Linked DNA regions of Oryza sativa Japonica Group. The protein of the gene in region 1 binds, or shares a complex with, the protein of each later gene. Links are inferred from orthologs where the notes say so. Each region holds a gene or a part of one and is shown on either strand. Other genes may lie near its edges. The genes, in order: AUGMIN subunit 4 and AUGMIN subunit 7.

Region 1 (4,426 bases):
CTACACCTTGGTACTCGCGCAACCGTGAAACCTGGTGCAAGATAAAACGACACTCTAGAATGTAAAAACAAATTATGGGAAAGTCGACTCCTTTTCAGGTAAAAGAGGATACTGAAAGATGGCATACATTGTTTATAGAAATTCAGTTGAAATAGATAACTACAGAGCTCTAGTTACTAGATTTCCATTACAGAGTTAAGGACTAGATATTCAGTAAATGAGTAATAACCATTGCTATTAAGGATTTAATGACCAAATATTTTGAAGATTACAAGGGGAAAGTAAGATGGGTGTATCATACCGCTTCAGTATAAGAATTGGATGCTTCTTTCGTGGCCTCTACTAGATATTTCCTGCAAGAAACGGTAAATAAGTAAAAAATGCATTTTCCTGAAAAGAAAAGCACTCAACATATTGGATCTGTTTTGAGAAGATGTACCACTTAACTCAAGATATCATGTCAGTTTTTTTTAAATCAATTAAACTGGCTTTACCTGATCCTATGTAGTGCCGGTACTGTTTCCTTGGTATAGGTGTCACGCAAGAGATGATGCTCAAGATAGCTAGAACCATGTTAAGAAAGAAATAGTTAATTAACTCTGTTTTGTCCCATCGCTGACTAGCAAATAACTCAATTAGAAGACTAACTATGTTTAACAAAGTACAAATTAAGATCCGTTATTAGGTGATGTATGATGGACGTAGATGCAGGTACCAACCTTAATTTAGCATTCATTGTCCGGCACCTTTTAATAAGCCAAGTCTTCTTCAGATCATCCTATTAGCCCACAAAGACAAAGTAGGAGGATTAACTATATGAAACTGAAAACACTCCATGTTTTCAAAGAAGCAGCATCATAATAGGAATATGAGAAAGCTTACATATTGATGCTGATGTTCCAATTTCTTGTCTTTAACGAACTGTATAAGTACAGCAAGAATTTGCTCCAGGACCTTTTGAAATTTCAGGAGCCATCAGTAAGTGGATATAATCCAGAATTTCTACTAGAATAAAGTGAGCTAACTGGCTATGTGGAGTTTGAGCAATCACTTAATATCTACACACGTACATTATAGTGTTCGGCAAATTTTCTATCCATCGAAGCAAGATCGTCTAGTAGAAGGGCCTCTTCCTTTTCAATCTCTTCAATAATTAACTTCACCCTGCCAAAAGGGAAAATCATATTGTGAGTAATGCGTCTCATGAATTCCCTGTTATTAATATTTTAAGTCCAAACAAGTAAAGGTTGACAATTGGACATTGCCATCAAGAACTGAGAATGCACTGTGAGTGATCAGAGTAAATTATTACAGAAGCAAACAAGGAGATTTTTTTTCACTCAAAATGTTATGCTTGACCTAAGAGAGTTTTGGCATATCAAGCATTTCCGTATAAGTAAAACCATTGCAAGACAGGCAAAGATATGAAATTTCACCTTTCTGGAAGTCTGGCACTTGAAATCTGACTAATGGATGATGAATCTGCAGCACATTTGAAATGTTAAGCTAAAACAATAATATTGAATACAAGATGTGTACTGTTGTCTAAAACTAAGTTGCCCAAGTTGCATTGCATAAAATGGACAGGAACGCAGGGAGTGAAATTGGTAGTCATAGCAAGATTCAAAAACTGACCCCTTTCATCCATTGCAAACAGATCAGCTAAAGCATCACACTTGGCTTCTAAGCGGGCCTCAATCTCTCTTGCCAGAGTTCGTTGATAGTCAACCATGTCCTGCAACGGGAAATCAGAGGTACATGCTGTAAACGTTTAAACAGCCCGGTTTTGAAAAGAAACAATGTATGTCCTGATTGCTCTTCAGTAAATGGTAAACAAAGATAGGAAGCAGTGAAGCAGTAATTGTCTGATTCCCCAAGAAACATACGATAATATATCCAAAACTAAAATGAAACTTGAACCCACCAACAACTGGTTCACACGATAAATTTGGTTGCAAAAGATTATACATACCACGGTCATGGCTGGCTGCTCTTGCTGCACCTGGTAGAGATAATCCGATGTGATTCCAAGAAAACGATCAGGAACACCGCCAACACCAGGCTCAACTGGCTCCGAACCACCAGTACCAGGGGCCGCAGCAACAGTGGCTGCACTTGCGGTGCTGCTGTAGTTATTGTAACTAGTCGAGATTGAACTCGAGCTAGGTGCGGCACTTGTCATGGTGCTATCGAATGAGCTCCTAGACAAGGTGCTCAGCTTCTCTATCTCCTCCTCATGTACATCTCCATCCTGCGAGAGCAGTGGAAGCCTTAACCTCTGCGCAGCCTCTGCAACCGCCAAATGGTGCTCCAATGACTCGTACACCTACATCAGTCCATACAATGCTCCATTTTCAGTCAGATAATTTCTCAATTTAGCAGCAAAAGTTTCATCTGCAATCAACCAGTTGAATTCACATTTGCAGCTTTATGTCCACCATTCACTGAAAGACGCAAAAATTTAAAAATGCGGGAGAGAAGTGGAACCTGCGGGGAGCAGTTGAGCTTCTTCCCAGCGTTGGCGACGCCAGTGGAGATGGCGTGCTGATACTCCTCCACCATAGCAATGGCCTCCGCGTACACAGCCTAACCACATTACCCCCAGATCTGATCAGAACCCCAACGGGAAACCCTAAAATCCCAGATCCCACGAGAAGGGACGGGCGCACTCACCAGTGCCTCCAGGTATCGCGCGCGCTCCGACGCGACCTCCTCCCGCGCCTGCGGCGAAGGAAAGCACAGAGACAGCAGCGGGTGAGATCGCGGAGGTAGGACATCGAGTTCGCGGAGGTGAGATAGCGTACCTGGAGGAGGTCGGAGTGGGCGCAGCTGGAGAGGAGGGAGGCGTCGGGGGCGAGGTGGTGGCGCTGGAGCTGATCCACCAGGTGCGCCACCTCCGGCGGCGGCGGAGGGAGCGACGCGGCGGCGGCGGCCTTGGACATCGTCGTCGCCGGCGAATAAGAGGTTCGTTGGTGGTGGTTTGAATCGTGTCGGGGAATGTGGGGTTTCGTTTGTGTAGCCGGATTTGGGGGGGCTACCAGCCGTTGGATCGTGGGATGACGGATGAGATTACGGCTGATTCATTCGGCTATCAGAGACACGGAAACAAAAATGCCTCTATAATCTTCTGAAATTATGGATGTCCACTATAATCTCCTTCATCAAATTCGTCATCTCTCCGGTCTTTCATTTCATACGCTGTTTGTTATTTTTATTTGCCGAGGCCAAATTTTAAAATTTTTAAGAAAATTAGAATTGAGAGTTGATTTTTAGGGGTTTTTCATCGTGGTTCATTTTAAGTTGACTTAAAAAAAACCTGTGAACATTATTATTTTTATGCTTAGTTCTTTTTTCCATGGCTTATGAGCCGTAAATCAAACAATGTGTACTTCGATTTTAAAATGAGATGGTAAATCCTAGTACTATATTTTAGAAACAGATTTAATGGCTAGGTTTCGTTATGCTCGAGCATACCCTCAAATGTTTGCATAAAAATTTAAAATAGATGATATCTCTTTGTGATTGGTGTTGGAGAAGGATTATAGAAAAGAAGAACGGGTGTTTGCTCGTCCTGGAAGAAGAACATAAGCAACACAATGATATGATTAGAACTGAAACGGTATAAATTAAACAACTTACTCCCTCCGTCACAAATTACTTGTCTCTTTAAGATTTAAACTTTGTCTCAAAATGGTTATCATAATAAAATACTATTTGTTCCATCAATCGTTTCTAATTCAAATTTATCTTTTTTCTTGCCCCTAACCAACCTCCTACATCCAACCATACAATATTTAGTTAAGGGTATTATAGTTTTTTTTCTTAAATCTTAATCTATGCTTTAAAAAAAAGGTAAAATTGTGGCACATCAACGTGCATGAGCTTAATAATTTGATTAGATCAAAATACCAGCCCATATCCCCATACACATGTGGTCAGGTAGATGGACGACCTTCAAGTTTGTTGTTTTCATGTTCAGGCTTGCATGATACGATTACGATCTGCCATGATGTCTTTTTCTCGAGATTATGGTGTCGTAGTCGTCTTCAACTACAGTAACCAGACTTTTATGACAGAAAATGGTGCGCCAAAGCAGCCATACCATATGAGGAAAGGAAAAAAAAGATAGAAAATAAAACACAATATTGAATAACTTGCAAATATTGTATTGTATAACAAGATTTGTCCTTGGGGACCTTTTATTATGCGTATAATTAGCGTGTTTTTTTTCGAAAGTATTTTTATCCCGAAAAGAGAAGCACTAGAAACCAAATTTCAAAGGAATGCGACAAGATTTATGATGATAGCCTTACTGGAGAGGAGCATCATGAAATCATCGTGAATGCGACTTGAATTGAATTATTATGCTCATCGCTTTCGCATAACCTCTGTAGGAGTACAATTCTTTACTGTACTAACCACTTTT
Region 2 (4,361 bases), on another chromosome or scaffold:
GTTCCAACCAAAAAGAGCTTAAATGAAGACAAATTAGTAGATTTTGCATTACCACTTTGGCCCACAGAAGCAGCACTAAAACTAGCACTATACAGTAGGATTACATATTCCATGCTGCTTCCCGTTCCCTAGTACTGAACCAAAGCATCAAGCATCAACATCATCTAGTTTACCTACTGTTTAATCCTCCACGCGCGTCTATGTCCTCAAACTAGCGTAATGTTGGAACAGAGCGTACGATTTCGTGTATCCGATGGATCCTAAGCACGGGAATAGGGAAAGCCACGGAACCAAAAGTGGGGGGTTTGGGGGGTGAGGGAGAGGCCAGACCGGAGGCCGACGTGAGCGAGGAGTGCAGGAGCGAAACGGCGGTGTTGACGAAGAGCGGGTCGCGGGAGACGGCGGCGCGCACGGCGGCGCTGGCGGCCTGGAAGAAGGCAAACCCTGCGGCCACGGGCGCCAGCTCCCGCCGCCCGCGCGCGCCGATCTCGAACCCCACCGACACCGCCCACAGCACCAGCGTCGCCGCGAAGAACGCGCTCGTGTCGCGGCCGCCGCCGCCGCCGCGATGGGGCGGAGGAGGCATGGGGCTCGTCGTCGTCGTGGCGAGCGGAGAACCGCACCGCACGATAGACTCCGTTCCCTCTTCCCCTCCCTCGGCGAGACGCGCGGCCCACGCGGTTGATGCCGGCATCTTTTATTATTGCTGGCCTTATCACTGACATGTGGGCCCCAGCCCAAAGTATATAAATTAAGGCATTTGTACATTTGCTAATGGTTTAAATCCTTGTTGAGAGATTGTTACTAGAAAATTATAAAAATATCCCTAGAATTATCATTCGAGTGACATCGTTATAGGGTTTGTTTATTATGTTGCCACTTTTAACTACACCAAAAGAGTCAAGTTTTGGTTAGACTATAAACCAAACACATACTCTCTTCGTTTCATATTATAAGTCGTTTGACTCTTTTTTAATTAAACTTCTTTTAAGTTTTACTAAGTTTATAGAAAAATATATCAGTATTTTCAACCTAAAACAAACATATTTATCAAAATATATTTAATGTTAGATTTAATGAAATTAATTTGATATTTTAAATGTTACTAAAACTTTTTTTTTAGACTTAGCCAAACTTAACCAAGTTTGAATAAAAAAAATCAAACGACTTATAATATGAAACGGAAGAAATACTTATCAATGCTACCCTACCAAATTTTGGTAATTCGATAAGTTTCTACTCCTAAAAAATTGTTTTACAAATTTTGATAAGTTAACAAACTAAACACAACCAACACTACCAAAATTTGATTTGATAGTGCCAAAATGTGTTAAAATTTGACAATGACAAATTTTAGAAGGGTTGAAAGTGCATACCATCTGAACAGCTCATAAATTTTAAAAAACAGTGGTAAATTTACAAATGCTACAGGTAAGTTCCAGACACCTTCAGAATTTGAAACGACAGTAAGGGAAATATAAAAACAAATTCGATTTTGAGAATTTGCAAATCTTGACACCATCTCGCTCGTTGGGTTGTCTCCGTCGAAGCGAGCGGCTCGATCCCCACCACCACCACCAGCAGCGGCAGCCTCGGCCGGCGCGGCGCGGCGAGGTGGGGAAGCGAGGAAGAGTGGGAGGGCTCTCGCCATGGCGTCGAAGCAGATGGAGGAGATCCAGCGGAAGCTGGCGGTGCTGGCCTACCCGCGGGCCAACGCCCCCGCCCAGTCCCTCCTCTTCGCCGGCGTCGAGCGCTACCGCCTCCTCGAGTGGCTCTTCTTCCGGTACGCGGCCACCCACGCCACATTCCCTATTTCCGCATCTCAATCTGCAAGGCTTGCTGCACAGTTGCGGGTAGATTTGGTCCGCGTTCTTTTTCCCCCTCACAGTCCCAACTCGAAATTGAGGGTTTCGTTTTCTCTTTGTTGCGGAGGCTCCTAGGCGACAGATCGCCGTTCACGCAGCAGAACTGGCAGGGGGATAGCCTCGACCGCGACGAGGAGAACAGCAGGATCCAACGTAAGGTTTTTTAGTTTCAAACATTTCACTACTGCTGTTGTTCTTGGGATCAAAGTGCGGTGCTGACATTGAAATGCTGGGGACTGTGCAGACCTGGCCGAGATTGCGAATTTCCTTGGTATAACGCCTTCGGTTGACACGGAGGCAATTCAGGTGAGAGAAATGGGTGTGCTTGTTTGTGTCATACGGTAACAGTTGTTGAATTTTAGCTGCTGTTATACAGGATCTATGAATTGTGAGAATGGCAGTAATATATTTGGGGTTAAATTGTCTTTGGTGTGCTCATAACTGTTCGAATTGCAGGGTAGAGGTAGCTACGATGAGCGTGTAGAGCTTCTCTGTCTCATTGTTGATCTAGTTGAAGCTAGCTGCTATGCTGACAATCCAGAGTGGAGGTTGGCTTTAAGCTTGACTATTTCTATTTGCAACGAAATAATACCCTTCATGTTATTCATACAGGACATAGTCATAAACATTGTCAGTTTGTGATAATTCAGTACTATTTTTTCATGAAACTTTTGTTCTAGGCTTCTAGCAATGTAAGAAAATAAAAGTATATCTGAAGAAAACATGTAAGAAAATAAAAGTATATCTGAAGAAAACTGAACTTTCATATACATCAAATAATCCATTAGGATCAACATGAGTGCATTGGAGACATAATTCCTAACAAATTGCTTTTTGGTAGTGTTGATGAGCAGCTGGCAAAAGATGTGCTGCTCGTAGATTCAATTGCAGAGAAACAAGCCCAAATATTTTCTGAAGAGTGCAAACTATTTCCTGCAGATGTTCAGATACAATCAATTTACCCCTTGTAAGTACTTCTTATCTGATAATTTTGTTGGTTGTAAGTACTCCCAGTTGAAGAAAAAGAGGAAAAGTAAGATGTTGAAAATCAGCTGTGTATGCTTCAAATCTTGAGTCATTCTCATTTTGCAGGCCTGATATAACAGAACTGGAGTTGAAGCTCTCCGAGTATACTAAAAAGATGTCAAATTTGCAACTGATGGTTCAGGAGTTAGCATCTAAGGTATGCGCTTAACAGCCACATAAACCTTGATAGTCTGTAGCATGTTCTATGCTATTTACACTGATGGTACAATTGCTGTTGCTCAGTATGACTATAATCCGAATGAAGACTATGCCGAGACAGAGTTAAAACTGAGGGAACATTTGCAATCGTTCCTAGAAACAGTAAAATCCTTCAATATGATCTACACTAAGGTGAATATCTTATGCAATGGTTTCTTTTTTCTTCCCAATTTCCCATACTTCTGCTGTACGTTCAGATAAATATTTTTGACATGATATCTTTTTCTGCTAACGGTTGCCATCTTTATGTGTTTTGAGTTTTACTTGTTAGATGATAGAATTGCTTTTCATTGTAGGAAATTCATCCTTGGACACATATGATGGAGGTCCCTCAATTGCATGGTTTTGGTCCAGCTGCTAATCGCTTGTTGGAGGCATATAACACACTTTTGAAGGTACTAGCGGAATATTTGGTTTATTTGACATTTTGTTGCTCATTTCAAGTTTTGCTTCCCTCTATGGTCAATGTGTCATGATCTGGTTATTTGAATTGGTGAAAACAAATATAAAAGGAGCTGATTAGCCGGTGGTCAATGTATGTCTTGTATTGCTATCAGATTATTTCAGAATAACCAAGATGCTAATATGGTATGGTATAATATCTGATAGTTCATTGATAGACCCATCTCTCATTTAAACTAATGAAAAATTCTAGAGTTCTTTTACTTCATATTCTTTTTAACTGATTAGCTCTGTGCGGTCTTCTTGCTTGTGTCTACTGTCTTCTGTCTGGTAAACTGAGCATATAAACATTGCTTGACTTGAGTGCCTATTTGTGATGTGCAGTTCCTTAGTAATTTGAGGAGCCTACGGGATTCGTATGCAGCAATGGCTGCAGGATCGCTTTCAGCATCTAATGAGCCTTCATCTGTCACCAAAATTATCTCCGACTGTGAATCTGCACTTACATTCTTAAATAACAGCCTTTCCATCCTTTCAACTTCTGTGGCACGGGAGCAGGGTGAGACTCTGAATTCACAGTAGCCTGATATCAGGATACTTGAATAACCTTGTAGCAAGTCGATCATTTGCTTTTTGTGGCTTGTAGTATTGCCGTTGTGCCAATTGTCGTTGTGTTCTTGTGTCTGTAGTTCGTAACTGCATAGATGAAAACTTTAACATTAGCTTATATTGAAATATCATGCCGAGAGCTCTCTTTCAAGGCTGTGTACGGCTGCACGTTGCAGCGGCTGCAACGCTGTACAAAATAATGTGCGAGGCGGCCGCAGCCGCAGTAGTGCAGCCGTAACA

What was found.
Region 2: AUGMIN subunit 4 (region 1) and AUGMIN subunit 7 share a complex: the UniProt entries of both Arabidopsis thaliana proteins name them as parts of the augmin complex. The link is inferred for Oryza sativa Japonica Group from reciprocal best matches to the Arabidopsis thaliana genes AUG4 and AUG7.

Annotation. Positions count from the first base shown.
Region 1 is NC_089036.1:1,015,755-1,020,180, forward strand, and holds the start of AUGMIN subunit 4, read right to left. Parts: upstream 2,988-4,426; 5' UTR 2,943-2,987; coding exon 2,805-2,942; intron 2,722-2,804; coding exon 2,674-2,721; intron 2,587-2,673; coding exon 2,488-2,586; intron 2,327-2,487; coding exon 1,973-2,326; intron 1,736-1,972; coding exon 1,636-1,735; intron 1,483-1,635; coding exon 1,437-1,482; intron 1,165-1,436; coding exon 1,071-1,164; intron 955-1,070; coding exon 883-954; intron 779-882; coding exon 720-778; intron 564-719; coding exon 495-563; intron 354-494; coding exon 302-353; intron 32-301; coding exon 1-31. UniProt on the Arabidopsis thaliana protein: Involved in microtubules reorganization during spindle and phragmoplast development.
Region 2 is NC_089035.1:38,315,185-38,319,545, reverse strand, and holds the start of AUGMIN subunit 7, read left to right. Parts: upstream 1-1,507; 5' UTR 1,508-1,649; coding exon 1,650-1,783; intron 1,784-1,932; coding exon 1,933-2,018; intron 2,019-2,109; coding exon 2,110-2,171; intron 2,172-2,321; coding exon 2,322-2,413; intron 2,414-2,706; coding exon 2,707-2,832; intron 2,833-2,957; coding exon 2,958-3,048; intron 3,049-3,134; coding exon 3,135-3,242; intron 3,243-3,406; coding exon 3,407-3,505; intron 3,506-3,896; coding exon 3,897-4,094; 3' UTR 4,095-4,361. Other genes in the region: uncharacterized protein, read right to left, coding at 331-694. UniProt on the Arabidopsis thaliana protein: Contributes to the assembly of the acentrosomal spindle and phragmoplast microtubule arrays as part of the augmin complex. Regulates the association of gamma-tubulin with the spindle and phragmoplast microtubules.